2 linked regions of the Pelodiscus sinensis genome follow. The protein of the gene in region 1 purifies or fractionates together with the protein of each later gene. This does not show direct contact. Links are inferred from orthologs where the notes say so. Each region holds a gene or a part of one and is shown on either strand. Other genes may lie near its edges.

Region 1 (10,184 bases):
TTGCAGCAGCCATGCCATCCCACTGGAGTTCCTAGCAGTTCTGCCGTCTGTGGGCTCCACTGCCCCACAAGCTCTGGCCCCAGTCGGCTTCCCTACCCTGCTGGCTGTAGGCTCTGCTGCCCCCATCAACTGGATTCAGATCTGCTTAGTCACAGTACCTTACTCCATGAATGGGTCCCATTAAGGACAAAGTAGGAAAGTGCTACTTAATGTAAGGAGATGAGAAGCCAGCTCCCTAATAGTTTTGCAGTAACACATATGGCATATGCAGAATATACATGATGGCAAAGATCTTACACCTGCAGATAATCTGACTTTCTAATTCTTGCCTATTCAACCCTGTAATGGTGATAAAGCCCCATCACACCACCAAGGGTACGTCTAAACTACATGCCTCCGTCGACGGAGGCATGTAGATTAGCCAGATCGGCAGAGGGAAATGAAGCCGCGATTAAAATAATCGCGGCTTCATTTAAATTTAAATGGCTGCCCCGCTCTGCCGATCAGCTGTTTGTCGGCAGATCGGGGCAGTCTGGACGCGCCGCGCCGACAAAGAAGCCTTTCTTGATCGGCACAGGTATGCCTCGTGAAACCAGGTTTACCTGTGCCGATCAAGAAAGGCTTCCTTGTCGGCACGTCGCGTCCAGACTGCCCCGATCTGCTGACAAACAGCTGATCGGCAGAGCGGGGCAGCCATTTAAATTTAAATGAAGCCGCGATTATTTTAATCGCGGCTTCATTTCCCTCTGCCGATCTGGCTAATCTACATGCCTCCGTCGACGGAGGCATGTAGTTTAGACGTACCCCATGTGTTTTTATAATGGACATGTGTGTTGTTTCATTTTCCTATCTAAAGAAAGCAAGCCCAAGTGGGATTCAACTGGAATTTTATTCAGAGTCTGGTTTGCACTTACTTCAGAGTCTCAATCTTCCGGAGCCTAGTAGATCTTGGAACCGCTCTTTCCAAAAGAAGCTCTGTAGTAACTTTGGACATGGTTAGTTTCTGCCACTTTCCTGGGAGCACAAAGCTGACAGCGGTAAAATGTCTTCCAGGAACTTTCTTGGTGAAAGAAACAAGAATTAGGAGGAGTCCTGTAAAACTTTTTCTCAACAAGAATGAAAGAAAAGGTGATGGTGCAACTACTCCTTTTTTTGTTGATAAATCAGACGTTTATTAGGTAATTTAATAATCCAGCCTTGCAAAACAATCATAAACATTTACCAAACTGGACATACATTTCACATCACCTGCCCCGACTGTCACAATGCTAGTAATAAAACCACTCGTGATACTGTGGGTCAGTTGTATCCTACATTGCAAACTGGCACAGGGACCACCTCTTAGTTCTGTGCATGACCAGAGCTCTTAGTTGCTATGCAAGTCATAAACAATATCTGCCTGCTGCAAGGTTTCTTCCTCTGAAATTTTACTGGCCACTGGATCGGATACCAGACTACAAAGACCGCTAGCTGGATCCAGGCTGGCAATCCTTAAATTCCTAAAATATTGCAAAACTAATCAAACTAGCTCAGTGGTGGGCAACCTTGGCTCAGCAGCCAAATGTGGCCCATCGGGGGTCTGTGTGGTCACGAGTAGGGATATTATTCGGTAACTGGTTACCCAGTAAGCATCGCTCTTATCAGGTGATGCTTATCGGGTAACGGTTAACTCATACCACAGGGAGCAGGCCCCTGATCACAGCCCACTGCAGGCAGAGGGCTGCTCCAGGTCCGCCAGACCTCCACACAGGCTGGGAGCTGGCAGCCCCATGTGGGGCTGGAAGCGGCGGCCATGGCACCGTGTCCCCAACATCATGTTCTAATCAAGACTGTGTTGCTACATTATGGGCCAAGTGACTGTGACTGGTTCAGTTCTGACTCAGGACAACACTGCATTGGTATGTTACAGGCCAAGTCTGAGAGGCTGTCACTGTTTTAGCACAGAGCTGCATTGCCATGTGACAGGTTCATGGGAAGCTGTAACTGCAACATCCTGCTCTGATACAGTTCTGGTTCAAAACAGCATTGCCCCATGATGGGTTCCTAGCTATGGTCGCATCACCATGATCCGGTCCAGTTCCAATGCAGGATTGTGTTCTCATGTTACGGGTGGCATGGCTGTGACTGTGTGACTGAGACCTGGTCCAGTGCCAGGTCCAGTCCAGCAAAGGGTTGAGTTGCCATGTGGTTGTGACCGGGTTAGGGTGTTCTGGTTCAGTTCTAGTGCAGGTTGTGTTGCCTTACTATGGGTTGTATGACTGTGACTAGGTCACCACGATTCTATCGCGGTGTTCCAATACAAGTCTGGATGGAGATTGCATTACCAGGGAGAGGTCACGTGGTTGTGACTGAGTCACCCTGTTTCGATCCAGTTCTGAGGTGGGATTAGATTACCACTCCATGGGGCTGTGGCCTAGCCACCCTGTGCCACTCCATTTCCAGCTCAGAGCAACACTGCTGTGCTAGGGGTTCTGTGGCTGTGATCAGGCTGCCACGGTCCGGTCCAGTGACCGCAAGGGACTATGCTGCTGTGTTAGCAGTTGCAGGGCTGTGACTGGGTGACAGTGGCCTGGTCCAGGTCTGCTGTGGATTTGCATGGCCATGTCAGGGGCAGTGATCAAGCCCTCCTCTTCCAGTTCAGTTCCGGTTATTCAGTTCCAGCTCAGGGCTACGTCGCTGTGTCCAGATCCAGTTCCAGCGAGATGTGGCACCAGCATGTTCTGGCCCAGATAGGGCGCCGAGCTCTGTGACATATGGCCGCAGCTGGGTCCTTGTGTTCTGGTCCAGCTGCAGACCAGGCCACGTTAACAAATGCGTTTGTGACCGTGTTGTGTTCTGGTCGGGTCCAGGGTAGGTCTGGGGGTGCAGAGCCGCCATGGGCATGTCCCCACGTCCCAGCTCAGTCCCGATTCAGAACCCTGCCTGAAACAGGGGAGGGGGGTGGAGGGGCCAGCACCCCCATGTCCCAGGCCAGCTCTGGCTCGGGACCCTGGCCGGGAGGGGGAGGGGCCGCAGACCCTCACGGCCCAGGCCGGCCTTGCTAGTGGAGGGGAGGTGGGGCGCAGTGCCCCATGGCCCATGCCGGCCCTGACAGGGAGCGGGGGGGGGGGAGCCCATGGCCCATGCAGCTTTGCCCGTGGGGGGAGGGGGAAGAGCCTCATGGCCCAGGCCAGTCCTGCCCGTGGTGAGTGGGGGAGGGGAGGAGAGCCCGTGTGCCAGGCTGGGGCGGGCGGACAGCTAAGGCCGGAAAAGGGCGAGAACTACAACTCCCAGCACCCCCCGGGGTCCAGCTCGGCCCTGTGGCTTGGCCGCCCGCCCCGCGGGCTGCTGGGAAAGCGAGTTTGGCGTGGGGGCGGCCGGCTCGGTTCCGAGCCTGCCGGAGCCGGGTCGTGGAGCCCGGGTGTCCCTCCCCCTCCCCTGCGGCGCCCTCCCCCCCCGCGTGCCCCGTCCCCTCACCTGCCGCCGGGGCCGCGCGCTGCCGCGCTGGGCCCCGCCGCCGCGACGGAGCCGGGGGGGCGCGCAGCCCGGCGGGCGGCGATCCGGGTCCGGGGCCCGAGCGGCGCCTCTCCCCGCGGGATGGAGGCGCGGGGAGCCGGAGGCGGCGGGGGAGCGGGGCCCGCCTGCGGCTGCAAGGGGATCCGCTCCTGCCTGCTCTGCGAGGGGCCCGCGCCGGCCGCTCCGCCCCCGCAGGTAGCGGGGGGAGGGACCGGGAGGGGGCGCCGAGGGATGGGACAAAGGGGCGCGGGGGGGGGCAGATGGGGGTGAGTTGGTGTAAGTGGATGGGGCGGGCTGAGAGGGGGGGGCGGGCAGGCACAGTGCCTCTTGTCCCTGGCTGCCCTCGGGCACCAGAGAGTGGCAGAGGGGGCGGCTGTTGCCTGCCCCCCACCCTTGCTCGAGAGAGAGGCTAAAGGCTGGGGGGGCTGCTAAACAGGCTGCTTCCATTCGGAGGAAACCCCACAAGCTCAGCCCCCCGCATTTCCAGAGCATGAGGGGAGGGTATTGGAGCTAGCTTCAGGCAACACCAGGCCTAGGATGCATGAGATTAAGGACTAGTCTTGCAGCGCCTTAAAGGCTAACAAAACACACAAATGGTATTAGCCTTTAAGATGCTGCAGGACTGTTCCTTGTTTAAGTTTTTCCAGTTCCAGACTAACTCAGCAACCCTGCTGAAGCTTTTATGCATGAGAGTGACATTGAGAGCTGCCTGAGCAGGGAGGATGCTACTGAGCCTCTGCCTGCAGAGGATGGGGCCACAACCTCCCCTGTAGGCCAGTCAGTAGCTGTTGCTTTGATACCTACACTGGCACCTGAGCAACAAAATTTTACCATTCACACATGCTAACATTCCCCAGAAGATTTGCCATGGCAAGCGTCAGTGTGAACAGCACGTGGTCAGCAGGAACACTCACCCGCTGCTTTTGGGAGGTGAAAGTATTTTGTCTGCAAGTGTGCTGACAGGCAGCAGCTACGGTGTCCAACTTCTACCAACATGGCCGTGCCAAAAGGACTGCGTTGCTAAAAGCTGTAGTGTAGACAAAGAGTTAACACCAGGATATTCCAGCCTGATTTGGATCTCTCCCTCTTTAGGCCTGTATCAAAGGCATCAAGAAAGTCATTAGCTATACAATTGGAGCACTCCAGTTGGCCAAACCACGTTCAGTCCAGTAGCAGTTGCTCACATCTCAACTAGAGCTAGGGGCAGGAAAGACATGCAAAATAGTTTGAGAGCAGCCTGCTGGTTAGTGCACTAGACCGTGGATCCAGTTTAAAGCATAGGTTTCTGTTACTCTAACCAGTAGCATCAGTAGAGGTGTTGTTGGTTTTGTAGAGGGTTTTGCATGAAGTCCATCACCCAGTGTAGTTGGCTACAACTCGGAACACTGAGGGATGGAAGAGGAGCAATAACCCCTCAAATATACACTGTATTTTAAGAAAGCACAGCTTGGTGATTTTTTATCCAGTGGCAGCTTGCGCTATAAAGGTATTACTGTTAAAGAATGAAAGTTGCAGAGATACAGCTGTAAAAGGAGAGTGACATTTCCCTGAAGAGAAACAGTACAACTGTTCAACTCTTAACATGTATCTAACCTATAACAACAGATACAATGGCAATGTCTTATTTTGCTGTGTCCTTTTTTATTTCTGCAGGAAAAAGGTAACTTCACTTATTGTCCAGCAACAGGTCTGGCTGTAGGAAATGAATGTTCAGAGTTTGCTGGCTGGGCATTTCCATTTCCAGGAGTGTTCTTGCTGGAGGAATTTATAAGCCAAGATGAGGAATATAAAATGGTTCAGCTGATGGATCAAGATGACTGGAAACTATCACAATCTGGCCGAAGGAAGCAGGTCTGAGTCCAGAAATAGGTTTCCTTCAGGGGAAGATTATTTCTTCACTTAACAAAAATCATGCTTTAGGTTTAATGTTTTCATTAAATTGATTCTTTCTGAAATAACAAATATTTGAAATTAATTTCTCTCAAGAGTGCATTTGTGATAGCTATAGTGAATCACGCTTGATATTGCACATTGAAACAATCTCAAACCACATTGATGTGCACAAGCAGGAAAACTTGAATCCAAAAGTATTATGACTTTCATGGGGCTATCTTACTGGTGCAGATCATCTTCTGATAAGTCACTGGCAAAGGTAGAAACAGAACCCAAGATGCCCAGGGCTCCCCAGTTTGTCCAGAGGATAGTGCCTCTCTAAAAGGGCATAACCCACATTTTTATTTATCATCATCTGCTTTTCCTTTTCAACAGGACTATGGGCCCAAAGTGAACTTTAAGAAAAAGAAGCTGAAAACTGGTGGCTTCTTTGGCTTGCCCAGTTTTAGCCAGGAGATTGTACAGCGAATGAAGGCTCATTCTGCATTAGAAGACTTCTTTCCTGTTGAGCAGTGTAACCTGGACTATCTACCAGAAAGAGGTTCTGCCATTGACCCACACTTTGATGACTGGTGGCTTTGGGGGGAGCGACTGGTTAGCTTAAATTTACTCTCAAAAACGGTGCTGTCCATGTCTTGTGAATCAGAGGATGGTCTCCAGTTAGTTGCCAATCACAAGCAAGCAATGGGGGAATCAAATCCCTCTGCCTCACCTCAAGCTTCCCAGAGCCACAAACAAAACCACCTTCCTTCCACAACAGTATGTGAAAATTTAGCCAGTTGGGATATTAACTACTTGTTTTCCTCAAGATTTATTCCATACAAAAAAGTTACTGTAGACATTCACTTACCTAGAAGATCCCTGATTGTACTATTTGGAGATGCACGGTATAAGTGGAAGCATGCAATATACCGCAAGCATATAGAGCATCGCCGGGTCTGTGTCACCTTCAGGGAGCTGTCTGCAGAGTTCGCTTTGGGAGGAGAGCAGGAAAAACTGGGTAAAGAACTCCTGGAAATAGCCCTGACATTTCAAGGAAAACCAGTGTAAGCATGAGAGAGAAACCTGGAATTATGAATTGTTTGAATAATTAAAAAATAAAGTTCAGAATTTTTGCAGTTTATCACTGTCTTATTTGGAGGCTGTTTAAAGGACCAAATTATGTAAAATATAAAAATTAGATCTCATGGAAATGTTACAACATTACCATAGATTGAAGAAGCGCAGCTGCTTTTAAAATAAGCCTGCCCTGACAGTATCACAATGCAAACATTGTAGTGTTAGCTGTTGGATGAGAATCAGAAATTGACTATTATACTTTTGTTCTTTACTACTTTGCATTTCATTATAGTTAAACAAACCACTTTAATCACTTAAACCTAAGGGCTGCGTCTACACTGGCCCCTTTTCCGAAAGGGGCATGCTAATTTGACACTTCGTGATAGGGAAATCCGCGGGGGATTTAAATATCCCCCGCGGCATTTAAATAAAAATGTCCGCCGCTTTTTTCCGGCTTTTAGAAAAGCCGGAAAAGAGCGTCTACACTGGCCCCGATCCTCCGGAAAAAAGCCCTTTTCCGGAGGATCTCTTATTCCTACTCGTTCCATGAGGCGTACAGCTAGTTTGGATTAGGAAGCCTAATTCGTGCCGCGTGTAGCCGCACGGCACGCAGTCCGAACTAGCTGGCATTTAAAAATGGTGCCGGCTGGGATCATACAAATGAAGCCCAGGAAGTTCAAATCCCGGGCTTCATTTGCAACTCCGTATGACTACATTAACCCCCCTACTTCAAACTAGGGGGGTAGTGTAGACATACCCTAATTTACCACAGGACTCTCCATTGTTTTTCCTTTGTAATGTGCTTTGACATATACTGATCTCAAGCACTTGATAACAGCTAGCTATTATTATTCCAATTTTCAAGACAGGGAATAGAGGCAAAGAGGAGCTAAGCGACCAACCCAATGTCAAACAGGAAGTTTGAAGTATTGCAAGAAGAAACATAGTTTCCCAAGTTTGAGGCTTATATCCTAACCACTGGACCATCCCCAAACCCCTCGTAGACACAGTTTCATGAGTCTAATATAGTGCTACAGAAATAATAACAATAATCATGGCTGCACCAAGTCTGCATAGATCCTTGCTGTGAATCCTCAGTCATCTTCAGGGCTTGCTTTTGTTGCAAACCAGAGGATCAAGGTATGAGTCTGCTATTCTGTAGCATTACAAGAAGATGGAAGCAGCCTGTGGGTGAGTGAAGTAGGGGGACAGAATATGAAGGCTATGGCTACACTGGCAGCTTCTTGCACAAGAACTCTTTTGCAGAAGAGTTCTTGTGCAAAAACTCTTCCACAAGAGAGTGTCTACACTGGCATGTGCTTTTGCGCAAGAGAATCCATGCCAGGGTAGATACTCTTCCACAAGAAAGCTCTGATGGCCATTTTAACCATAGGGCTTTCTTGCACAAGAAATTCATGTTACCTGTCTACACTGGCCTCTTCTGGAAGAGCTCTTGCGCAAAAGGGCTTCTTCCTGAGCGGGAGCGTCAGAGTTCTGGCGCAAGAAGCCCTGATTTTATACATTAGAACATCAGTTTACTTGCGCAAGAACACACGGCCAGTGTAGACAGGCAGCAAGTTTTTGCACAAGAGCTGCCGCTTTTGCGTGAGATCGCACCAGTGTAGACACAGCCCTAGGCTGCGTCTAGATTGGCATGATTTTCCGGAAATGCTTTTAACGGAAAAGTTTTCCATTAAAAGCATTTTTTGAACAGAGTGTCTAGATTGGCACGGACGCTTTTCTGCAAAAGCACTTCTTGCGGAAAAGCGTCCATGCCAATCTAGACGCGCTTTTCTGCAAAAAAGCCCCGATCGCCATTTTCACGATCAGGGCTTTTTTGCACAAAACAAATCTGAGCTGTCTACACTGGCCCTTTTGTGTGAAAGAGACTTTTGCCTGAACGGGAGCAGAACAGTATTTCCGCAAGAAGCTCTGATTTCAGACAGTAGGAAGTCAGTGCTTTTGCAGAAATTCAAGCGGCCAGTGTAGATAGCTGGCAAATTTTTCCGGAAAAGCGGCTGATTTTCCGGAAAAACTGGCCAGTCTAGACACAGCCCTAGTGTTTAGAGCTCAGACACCGGACTGGTACTCCAAGATCACTATTCAACTCCCATCTCTCCCATGGATGTTATGCCACCCTGTCATATTTTCTCCGCCTATGGACAGGATAATGCTTCGCTATGTCACCAGGGCACTGCAATAAGGCATGGATGGGAATACGCAGATGCCCAGACACTGTGGTGAGGGGGGCCCCATAAGTGCTGTAGAAATGGGGCTTGTCATGGAGAAACCGAACAGGAGCCCCCACCCCTAAGCTGCTGAGACAGGCGAATATTCTTTGGGAAGCAGAAGGCTGCTCTGTGTGTGCAGCCCACCCCCCAGGGAAACGTGCCTTGGCAGGGCTGGGAAAGCCACGGGCCCGCCCCACACTCCCAACACACACACGAGCACGCCCTACACACACGCCCCCTCCGTGTCCACCTCCACACGTACGCACCCCCCCACACACACATCCCCGCCACGCAAGGACAAACACGTGTACACCCCACACACGGGAACCCCCCCAACACACACACACACACACACCGCCGCGCGCGTACCCCACGCCACACGGAGCCGCGCGCGGGCGGGGAGCTCTAGACCCTGCCTGCCGGGCCTGCCCCGCGGGGCCGCTTCGGGCTGGGCGAAGGGGTCACCGAGACCCCCGTGGCGACCCGTTATCGGGGCGGGGGGGGGAACGCTGAGGCTTCAGTAAACCCGCCCCTCCCTCACCTCCGCCCTGGCTGGGCGCCCCCCCCCCCCCCCACTTCCGAGTCCGCGCGCCAGGCCCCGCCCCGCGCCCGCCGTAGAGAGGAGAGGCCAGCGGGGCTCCCTGCCCGGCCCTGCGGCGCCACCTGCTGGTCGGAGTGGTCTGTTGCTGAGTGAGTGCGCTGCGGGGGCGGTGGGGGTAGGGATGTGGCAGAGGCCATAGCAGGTCTAAGGGCAGCTGGGAAGAGGGCACCCGCCCAGGGGGCTGCAGATCAGGAGGGCGGGTGCGGGGATTACTTCCCTCTATTTTTCCCCACCCCTGTGCAGAATAAATGTTGTTCTGTGCACCGGGGAGGGCATGCAGCTGTGCACCACCAATCCAAACACATACTGCGGGCTGTGGGCACTCTGCTAATCAGCTGGGCAGCAATGGAATCTCATCTGAGCAGCAGGCCAAGGGCACAGCTTCCTGGGAAGCCTGCTGGGGGACTGCGGCATCCTTCATAGGCCTGCAACCCGCTGGGGCTGCCCTTGTCCTACAGTTCCTGTGCACCAAAGTGTGTAGCCCAGAGCACCCGAGGGATCTCTGGTGAGGGGACAGTGCGAATGCCCTGAAATGGGCTGGCATGTGTGGTCTGTGCCCAACAGAGCACCATTCCTTGCCCGCTGTCTGTACACCAGAGAGTGCCCCAGACTCAGCAGCGCACTTGTGGGTCACCCACGTACCACAGTTGTGCCCAAAGGCTGGGAATAATCAGGCAGGCTCAGGCAGATGCTCAGGACCCATGGTCAGAGTGAAAACAGACACTTGGCAGGATATGCATCGGACGAGAGAAGTTGCCCACACACACAATCTCACAATGAGCATAAGCTTCTTATTTCCCCCACCCCCACACACACACTCACACACACTGACTGTGGCTTCAGTCGCACAGAAAGAGAGAAATGGTTCCACTGCTTGACCTATATGCTTATTTTGTAAAAACATC
Region 2 (9,992 bases), on another chromosome or scaffold:
AAGGGCAGGAAGGATAGGTGTGCAAGGCATCATGGTTGGCAGCTGGGGACAGTGTCGGGCTCAGGCTGGAGCCCCAGCCCCACAGTTGCACAGGGCCACAGCCCCACAATAGGGGTACATCTAGACTGACAGCTTCTTTTGAAATAAGCTTTTTCGACAGAGCTCTTTCGAAAGAGAGCATCCACACCTCAAAACTAGATCAAAAAAGCAATCTGCTTATTCGAAAGTGAGCATCCAGACTGCATGGATGGTCTCTCAAAAGAAAGCCCTGACTGCTATTCACAGAAAGGCCACCAGGGCACCTGTGCTTTTTTCGTTGGCAGCTTCTTTCAAAAAAATGTCCTTGTTCTGCATCCACACACACCCTTTTTGGAAAGAGCTCTTTCAAAAAAGGCATTCTTCCTCGTAATTTGAGGTTTACCATGTCGAAAAAAACCCTGTGTTCTTTTGATTTAATTTCAAAAGAATGTGATTGCAGTGTGGACGCAGGTGAAGTTTTTCGAAAAAACAACGTAGTCTAGACATACCCTAGGAGGCTGAGCCTGTGATCAGTTTTACAGACACTATCTCAGAGTCTTATGGGCAGCAACAAGCTATCAAGATTCATGTTTCATGTTGTTTCTGTTGGGAAATCACTTACACAACAGCAGACAAGTACTAGAGTTATCCACACGAGAAGGCCACCCAAGAAAAGCAGAACTGTGAGAAGAGCAAGGATCTTTCCTATCACTACCTTGCAGCAGCCAAACATGACTAGCAGTGGAGAGCCAACTAATAGCAGCCCACAGGAAAAAATTTGCTATAAAGCTTCTGCTTGCTTAGGACAGCTAATGTTTTAAAGTTTATTAGACACATACTAGAGAAGACTGATACAAAAGATGCATAATATAAGATCTCAAATTACAAATATAATCAGCTAGGCTAACTCAGAATAACAATGCACTGAAGTCTGTTACCAACCCACCCATAACAAAAAAAATTATGGTACAACGTCTGATCTACTCAAAGGCACAATACAGAAAGAGTTACCTTGCCAAATACTGATAACAGTGATGACACCTGGGATTCTCGACAGGGCACCATACTTTCCAAGTGAAGTAAGGTAGCCTCTGGATACTCTGGATGTTCAAAATTAGGCATTTTGATTCACGTTTCTGTCACCAGTCAGCTAACTGTATATGTATGTCACCTTCCAATAGGAAAATAAGACCGAAGTGATGATCTGGAAAATAAAATGTTGTATTTGTTCATATACGGAGAAATGAAGTAAAAATAAATAAGAGGTGACAATCTTTCATTATAATCAGACTTTTTACCTAACAGGAATGACGACTATTAATATGATGGAAAAACGCAAAGACCTCATTCAGCACTGGGACCCAGTAATGCTAGCCTTATAAGGAAATAAAAGCAAAAGAGACAATAACTGCCCTAAAGGGTTTACAATTTTAAGACAAACAAAAAGGAGAAGTTGTGGATGCAACAAATGAGCAATGAACATGGTGAACAGCGGTCATGACTTTGCTAGTTACATGGATGCAGGTTTGTTTGTTTTAACTTTACTTTTTGAGAGTAAAGGTGCAAAGAAAAAGAGTAGAGAAAGAAAAGGAGAATAGTCTCAGCTGGTCATCTGCTTAGCCACAATTAACAAGCTGAGATTAGTAAACATCACAGCAAAAACCAGGTTTCAAAAAGAAGATAAAGAAGTGATTCTTCATATGTTATGTTGAGCATCAGGGACAGCATAGGCGAAAGCACAGAGGTTTTTAACAAGCAGCTAACTAATGGGTGATAAAGGATGGGAGCAAGCACTAGCAGAGTAAAAACATCATAATAGGCTGACATAATAGGTTACTAAATCAGTTAGATAGGAGGAGCTAAGTTAAGAGACGACTTTAAAGCAGGGGTCAGCAACCCATGGCTTGCGAGCCAAATATGGCTCACTAGGGAGCCAGATATGACTCTTTTGGAGACCCTACTCAGCCGCCTCCCAGCTCCTGCAGCAGCACTGAGCCAGAGCTGGCGCTACAGCCTTATGACCCCTACAAGACTGGAACGCCAGCACCAGCTTCCTGTGGGGGGAAAGGAGTGAGGAGGGAAAGCCCTGAGCCTCCCTTTCGGATCTTGCATGTGGGGAACAGACAGAATGAAAAATGGCTCCATGCACCATCCTTCCCCCCCGGTGCGGAACCAACGGCTGTGTGCCATTCTCTTTCCCTTAGGAAGCACTTCATGCAGGCTTCACCTGTGAATCCTGTCTAAAGACTTCCTTCCAGCACATGGGAGCAGCGGGGGGGCTATGTTACACTCAATGTGAAAGCACATAGTGCCCCCCAACCCTCATGCCCAAACCCCAAACTTCCCCTCACTCAGCCCCCCTCCCAGCTAGATACCCTGCCCCTAGCCCACTCCTGCCCCCGACCAGTAAGCCTGTCCTCAGCCCATTCCCCCACAGAACCCAACCTTGTGTCCTGCATGCCCCCACAACCCAACCTTGCACTGAGTCCATCATACACCCAAATCCTCTGCCCTGAGTCCCTCATGCACTTGCACCAAGACTCCTGCACGACCACATCCCCAGCCCCCGCCATAAGATTGACAAAAGACAGCCTGAATGCGTTCATAAAGCTGGATTTGACCAGTTATGATGTAAACTTCAAAGAAATGTGCAAAAAAATGCAGCAACGGAAGTCCCATTAAATAAAGTCCATGAGCACAAGGTTTCATTTATGCTATTAATCATTATGTCAATTATTAATAATATTAAATTGTATATTTTCTGTTATGCAAATGGGCATTCTTATCCGGCTCTTTGATGATCATTTGTTTAGAATTTTGAGACAGTTTGGCTGTTTGGTTTGAAAAGGTTGCCGACCCCTGCTTTAAAGGCACTACAAGAAGCTTTTATTTGGTGTCAAAATTAAGGGGGAGCCAATTGACAACGCAAACTAGGAATTAACATGATCAGAATGATGAACCAGAAATGCGGTCTTTAATTTGAATAGACTCAAGGCAAGCAAAAGTTGCAGCAATCAGGTCAACATGAGGACTATGATGAGAGTCTTCACTGAGCAGAGAAAAGAGACAAAAGGCTAGATTTTCAAGATCAGTGTTAAAAAAAAGGCAAGATTAAAAACATAGTGGCCCCATCAAAGATCACACCTAAACTACACTGCCTGAGTGACAGGGAGAACAGCAGTGTTGTCTATGCTGATAAAAGAAGATGGCCAGGTGAGAGAACCTGTGAGGAAAGGTTAAAAATCTCAGGTTTTGGCCATGTTTAGTTTAAAATAATGACTAAGAAGAAACAACCTGACATAGGACTGGATGAAGCAAGATACCTCATTAGCTGAGAGGAGGATCTATGATTTATCAATGTAAAGATGATACACTAAGAGCTTTACAAACATTAAAATACCCACGAGGCAAATCCTTTTTATGAGCAATGAAAGGAGAGCACGCAGCATCCCTGTTTCTGCACTGGGAAATGGGAAACGGGAAACCAAGCCGTCTTGACTCTCAAGGTTTACCTCCCATTTTTCTACCATTAAAATGTGTGAAACTGCATCTTGACACCATGCTATAAGTCGAACCTCTGTAATCTGGGATTCCCTGGTCCGGCAATATCCGTTGTCCAGCAGGACCACAGATATTCCTGTACCTGAGAGTCCCGGTGGAGGGCTGACAGCTGGGTTCCCCACAGGTGGGCTGCTTGGTGCCCTGCATCTGGACAGCCAGGCACAACCCAGCAGAGCTGGAAGCCCAGAGTGCCACAGCAGGGCTGCCCAATGGGGCCAGGAGCCCAGCACACAGGGAGCTGGGCTGACCATCATAGTAGGAAAGGAAGGAGGTGTTGGGACCAGCGAGGCTGGTGGCAAGAGGAATACTGCCAGGAGGCTGGTCCAGCAAAACCCCTCATCCAGGACTGGTCAGGTCCCGAGGGTAGCAGACCAGAGAGATCCACCCTTCATTTGCATGGCTATATCATGACATCACAATAGTGCACCAGGACAATACAATCACCTCATTGTGCCACCTCCTAAAGGCACTTTACTATATGCCACTAAAAACCCAGGACTCATCAGACAACTGACCCTGCAGCTCAAGACTTTGCTGCAAGCTTCGAACATGGTGGTTACTTTCCCACTAGCACCCATGCAATAACCCCCTCAGTCTCTGGGGAGGCAATTCACTCCTGCACCCCTGCTCCAGCCAGCACCCTGTGATTGTCAGGGCGGGGGAGGGGGGATCGCTGCGGCCATTGCCACCACAACCACCCCCCACACACACAGAGCAACGCCGCCCAGACCCACGCCTAATGCTGCGGGTGTGAAGAGGCGGAGTAGACATGAAAACAGACCCCAGCTCCGCCCACACTTTAACCCAACAGGCAGCGGCACCCCCCTGAAGCGGACAGCCCCGGCTTGGGCAACCCACACCCCGTGCCCAGCGCGCCGCAACTCCTCCCTCCCTCCCTCCCTCCCTCCAGGTCCTGCCGTGTTGGGGCAACCCTGACTCTGTCCGCCGCTCAGGCCCTCCGCTGACCCAGAGCCCTGGCAGCACCGCAGCTCTTCTCACAGCGCGCGAGCCTAGGCAAGACGCGCGCGCATTCTCCCTTCTCCCCCCGCCTCCCGCAAACGTCCGCCAACACACAGAACCGGACACTCACCCCGAACCCCAACGGTCACGCTGCTTTCGCGGGCGAGGACTCCGAACCGAGCGCCCGCCTTTGCGCATGCGCACATTGCTCCGATGGTTACCCCCCTCCCTCCCGAATGCGCAAGCGCCAACTCTGCACATGCGCGTTAGGAAATTGAAGTTTCCCCTGGTAACCACGCCCATACTGCGCCCGCTCCCAAGCGTAAAGCCAGAAATTTGTGTGGCTTAGGGTTGAACAAGAGCAATGGGGGAGCCGACAGCCTCGCTGGGCCCTGAGCAATTGGGGGGAGGGGAAGGTCGCTATCGTGGAAGAGCCGCCCCAACCATGGAACGCCCCCACCCTCAGCGCTGCCGGGGGTTCCAGCGGTGCTTTAAAGGGCCCCTTCCCCCCTCTCCCAGAGCCCGAGGGCAGTGGATGTTGGGCTCCAGAGAGAAGAGGAGCAGTAGGATGGCAGAAGACAAGGAGGAGCCTGGGGACAGGGCTCACCTGACTATCTAGGCCAGGGGTGGGCAGTAATTTTTGACGAGGCCACTCCAAGATTTTGGAAAAAGTAGTCAAGGGCCTCGCTCTTCCATGATATTAATGGAAGAGGTGCAAGGTCTGGGATGGAGGCTGGGTGCAGAAGGGAGCTTGGGGTAAGGGCTTGGGGTGCAGGAGTGAGAATGCGTAAAGGAGGTGGTTGTGACCTAATGGAGGGGACTGGGATGCAAGGTTTTAGGATGTGACCTAGGGTAGGAGTGGATTATGATCTGGTGCAGGAGATTGGGGGGGGGCAGATCTGGGAGAGAGGGTTGGCAAAGGGAGGGGCTGGGGTGCTAGAGGCAGGCTCTGGCCAGGAAACTCACAAGCCAGCAGCCAAATCTGCCTTCCTGCGGATCTTAAAATGTTTCTCTGTCAGCCAGCTTGCACCTAGCCATGTGTTTCTGTGAATAACAGCTGGAGGGGAAGGGGGGTGGTGCTTCCTGGCTGCCTGTTATTCAGACAGGCTGCTCTCATTGGCCAGTTTCTGGCCAGAAACCAGCCAATGGGATTGTGCTGGGGGCAGGGGCACTGCCTGAAGCTCACCCCTCCCTCCTTCCAAGATTACAGTTTTGCAAGGAAAAGAGGGTCAAATAGCCACATTTCTGAACAGCCTGCTGGGCAAGCAGGGGAGCTGCCTAGGTCTCCCTGGTGCCTCTGTGAGCTGGATCTGGTGGGATTGGCCGTATTTTTCCCAGGCCTGATCTAGGTGGTCACTTAGGGCACCAGGCTTTAAGGATTGCTAAACTAGATGGCAGTGATTTTTTTTCCCTTTAAACAAAGTGTCACATTGCTGGATCTTGAGGGGAGCAGCCAGATCACTGATGCACCCATAGGTGGGGGTGTTGGCCCCAAAAATGGTATAGAAGGGGGCCATGTGAGGTATTGAATATCTGATAATCCTATGTACGCTGTTCATGTGTTTGTATAATGTCTGTGTGTGCAATTATTAACATGTACTTGTGTGGACACTGAAGATTTCCCTGCATGTGGTTAAGCATTGGGCAGGGCCGAGCCTGTGGAGCCTGTGGACATGCTAATTACCTGTGGAACAATGGCTCTCAATGGGCCAAAGACACACCCAAAGAATGGGGGCTGTCACCTGAGAGCAGCCAGCAGGGAACACAGAGAGGCTGAGGACCAGGTGACCTGCTGCATACCAGAAGAGGCCAGGAAGGAGGTATAAAGAGGCCATGTGGTCGATGCCATTTTGTTCTCAGCTCAGCACTTCATCCCAGAGGCAGCACTGCAGGGATCGAAGAGCCCGGAAGACCTGTGAACCCATCCTGATCTTAGGATGTGCAATAAGAACTTTTAAACCAGCAGCTGCAACATCTCTGCTAGAGCCTGCATCGAGAACTGGGAGATTCGGTGCATGTAATGTACTGTACTTTAATAACCTTACTCTCATGCTTTTCTTTCTTATGTTAATAAACCTTTAGTTGTTAGATGCTAAAGGATTGGCCCAGTGTGATTTGTGGGTAAGGTCCAAAGGATAAATTGGCCAGAGATCTGTGGCTGATTTCTTGGAACCGGACAGAACTTGTTCGGGGTAGGTGGGATTGGGTGCTAGGACCCCCCAGCTGTGTATGAGGTCCGGGGCCATCTGGGGCATGGTTATTGCTGGGGTGTCGGAGGAGTTTTGCTTGTGAGGCTTCAGGCAGGCTGCTGAAGCGTTCTGTGGGACTGGTTTGTGGCCTGTATGGAGAGGTCACAAGTCTGGGGGCTGTAAGGAGCCCCGGATTTGAGCAATTCGCCCTGAGCAGACGCCCTCAGCTGTGCCCAGACATGGCCCGGTCCGTCACACAAAGTTGTCTCTGTGACGGGGTAAGGTCACGGAAGACCCCTTGGGTGTGCCCCCCAGAGTACTGACATGGCCACTGCCACTCACCTACCTACTCTCTGGGGCTTTTCACTGCCTGGTGCTGCTAGGCTAGCTCCACTTTTCTTCCCCCAGCCAAGGCCCTGAGCTCATATCCCTACTACCCCTCACCCCCCCATGAAGCAGTACCAACACTGAACCTATTCAGGTCCAAGGAGAGTGCAGTTTGGGGCCCAGCTTCCTGGGATACCACTCCCCCAAATGGGATCAAATCCCCAATTAATTACTTGGGTGAGCCCCCTTTAACAATGAAAGGGGGAATGTGCACATTGATTGCTCCCCCAGGTAATAATTGTTTACACTGGGCTTGATAGTAAGCAAAAGTGATTTTATTAAGTACAAGCAATAGGATTTAAGTGGTTATAAGTGAGAATAGTCAGCGCAAAAAAGATTACAAACTCAAAAGTAACAGGCGCTTAGCTAATTCTGACACAAAAATCCTCAGCACAAACTTACTATAAACTCACCTTAAAACTGTTTCTGTTCCAGGTGCACCTTCAAAACCAGGACATTTCCACTTTGCCTAGGGTCTCTGGTTCATCCTCCCTGGGTGTGTCGAGCCAGCCCAAAGACCTAGACTCCTCTTTGTCTATTCTTTTTAAAGAATTCCCTTAGGGTGCGTCTAGACTGGCAAGATTTTGCGCAACAGCGGCTGTTTTTGTGCAAAAACTTGCCAGCTATCTACACTGGCAGCTTGAATTTGCACAAGAGCACTGACTTTGTAATGTACAAAATCAGTGCTTCTTGCGCAAATACTTTCATGCTCCCGCTCGGGAAAAAGCCCTCTTGCGCAAGAATACTTGTGCAAGAGGGCCAGTGTAGACAGGGAAGAACTGTTTTGCGCAAAAAAGCCCCGATGGCTAAAATGGCGATCGGGGCTTTCTTGCGCAAAATCGTGTATAGACTGGCCATGGGTGCTTTTGCGCAAAAGCATCCGTGCCAATCTAGACGCGCTTTTGCGGAAGTACTTTTAACGGAAAAACTTTTCTGTTAAAAGTATTTCCGCAAAATCATGCCAGTCTAGACACACCCTTATTGTATGGGGAGTCATCTGGTCCCTCCCAACTATCACTACTAAGCCTTAAGGACAAAAGGCAATAGCATATGATTGCCCAGACACTGAGGCCCCACTTGATGCCTTTCCATCTACATATTTTAAAAACAAAATAGTCTCTACTCCATGTGTCTAATTTCACACACAAGAGTGATACATACACCAAAATAAACAGAACCAGCGGATTTTGACATGAAGGTTGATAGGTTACATGAAATAATTTGTTCAAAGCATCTATGAGTAAAATATATTTATGTCCAGAAGTCCATTTCATAAAGCATGGGTTGATGGTCCATCACACTCTCATAAACCAAAATATCCAATATTATATGTGTAAAACAGTGCATCATTGCCATGTCAGAAACTGAGTTATTGTTTATTTCACATTGTAAACACAGCTGTGCATGAAAATACAGATGGCAAAGCTTCAAAAGAGTGCCACCGGTGTTTGCTGCCTAGTGGTGAGGTCTGGCAGTTCAGTCATTCTCAGTAGCCCACTCCTAGGCTGTCTACACATTGGCATGATTTTGCTGCCTGTCTACACTGGCGGGGAGTTCTTGCGCAAGAACACTGATGTTCTAATGTGTGAAATCAGTGCTTCTCGCACAAGAACTATGATGCTCCCGCTCAGGAATAAGCCCTCTTGCTCAACTGTTCTTGCGCAAGAGGCCAGTGTAGACCGGCAACATGAATTTCTTGCGCAAGAAAGCCCGATGGCTACACTGGCACGGACGCTCTTGCGCAAAAGCACGTGTCTTGCGCAAAGGCACATGCCAGTGTAGACGCTCTCTTGCACAAATACTTTAACGTAAAAACTCTTGCGTTAAAAGTATTTGCGCAAAATCTTGCCAATGTAGATGTAGCCATACAGTTCATAGAGTGCTAGAACTGAAAGGGACCTCAAGAGATCAAGTCCAGTCCCCTGCCCTCATGGCAGGGCCAAGTACTGTGGAGAATAGATCATCCCTGATAGATATTTAACCTGTTCTTAAATATCTCCAGTGATGGAGATTTCATAACCTCCCTAGGCAATTTATTCCAGTGTTTAACAACCCTGACAGAAAGCTTTTCCTAATGTCTAACGTAAACCTCCCTTGCTGCAATTTAAGTCCATTGCTTCTTGTCCTATCATCGGAGAACAAGGAGAAAATTTTTTCTCTCTCCCCTTTGTAACACCCTTTTAGGTACTTGAAAACTGCTCTCATGTCTCCTCTCAGTCTTCTCTTTTCCAAACTATGCATTTCCAATTATTTCAGTCTTCCTCATAAGTCATGTTTTCTAGATCTTTATTCTTTTTTTTTTTTTTTGCTCTTTTCTGGAACTTCTCCAGTTTCTCCGCATCTTTCTTGAAATATGGAGCCCAGAACTGAACATAATACTACAATTGAGGCCTAATCAGTGCAGAGTAGAGTGGAAGAATCACTTCTCATGTCTTGCTCACAACACTCCTGTTAATGCATCCCAGCATCATGTTTGCTTTTTTTGCAACAGTATTTCACTGTTGACTCATATTTAGCTTGTGATCAACTATGACCCCTAGATCCTTTTGTATAGACTGTTGCTAGATCCTTCTTAGACTGCCGCTTCCCATTCAGTATGTGTAAAACTGATTTTTCCTTCCTAAGTGGAGTACTTCATCCTATTTACCTCAGACCATTTCTCTAGTTTGTCCAGATTATTTTGAATTATGACCCTATCCTCCAAAGCACTTGCAACCCATCCCAGCTTGGTATCATCTGCCAACTTTTAATAATCGTAGTCTCTATGCCATCATCTAAATCGTTGATGAAGATATTGAACAGAACCAGTCCCAAAACAGACCCCTGCAGAACCCCACTTGTTATGCTCTTCCAGCATGATTATGAACCATCAATAAC

The links.
Region 2: the proteins of LRWD1 (region 1) and ORC5 purify together in Homo sapiens (affinity purification with mass spectrometry; 4 studies listed by BioGRID and IntAct, with this or other methods). This does not show direct contact. The link is inferred for Pelodiscus sinensis from reciprocal best matches to the Homo sapiens genes LRWD1 and ORC5.

Annotation. Positions count from the first base shown.
Region 1 is NC_134731.1:15,872,867-15,883,050, forward strand, and holds the start of LRWD1 (leucine-rich repeat and WD repeat-containing protein 1), read right to left. Parts: upstream 4,507-10,184; 5' UTR 4,492-4,506; coding exon 4,410-4,491; intron 3,691-4,409; coding exon of another isoform or gene 3,577-3,690; exon of another isoform or gene 3,457-3,576; intron 1,061-3,456; exon of another isoform or gene 1,057-1,060; coding exon 915-1,056; intron 1-914. Other genes in the region: alpha-ketoglutarate-dependent dioxygenase alkB homolog 4, read left to right, coding at 3,577-3,690, 5,149-5,346, 5,764-6,409, 9,248-9,372. UniProt on the Homo sapiens protein: Required for G1/S transition. Recruits and stabilizes the origin recognition complex (ORC) onto chromatin during G1 to establish pre-replication complex (preRC) and to heterochromatic sites in post-replicated cells.
Region 2 is NC_134711.1:24,344,409-24,354,400, forward strand, and holds the start of ORC5 (origin recognition complex subunit 5), read right to left. Parts: upstream 4,800-9,992; 5' UTR 4,670-4,799; intron 4,635-4,669; exon of another isoform or gene 4,546-4,634; intron 1,223-4,545; 5' UTR 1,141-1,222; coding exon 1,030-1,140; intron 1-1,029. UniProt on the Homo sapiens protein: Component of the origin recognition complex (ORC) that binds origins of replication. DNA-binding is ATP-dependent. The specific DNA sequences that define origins of replication have not been identified yet.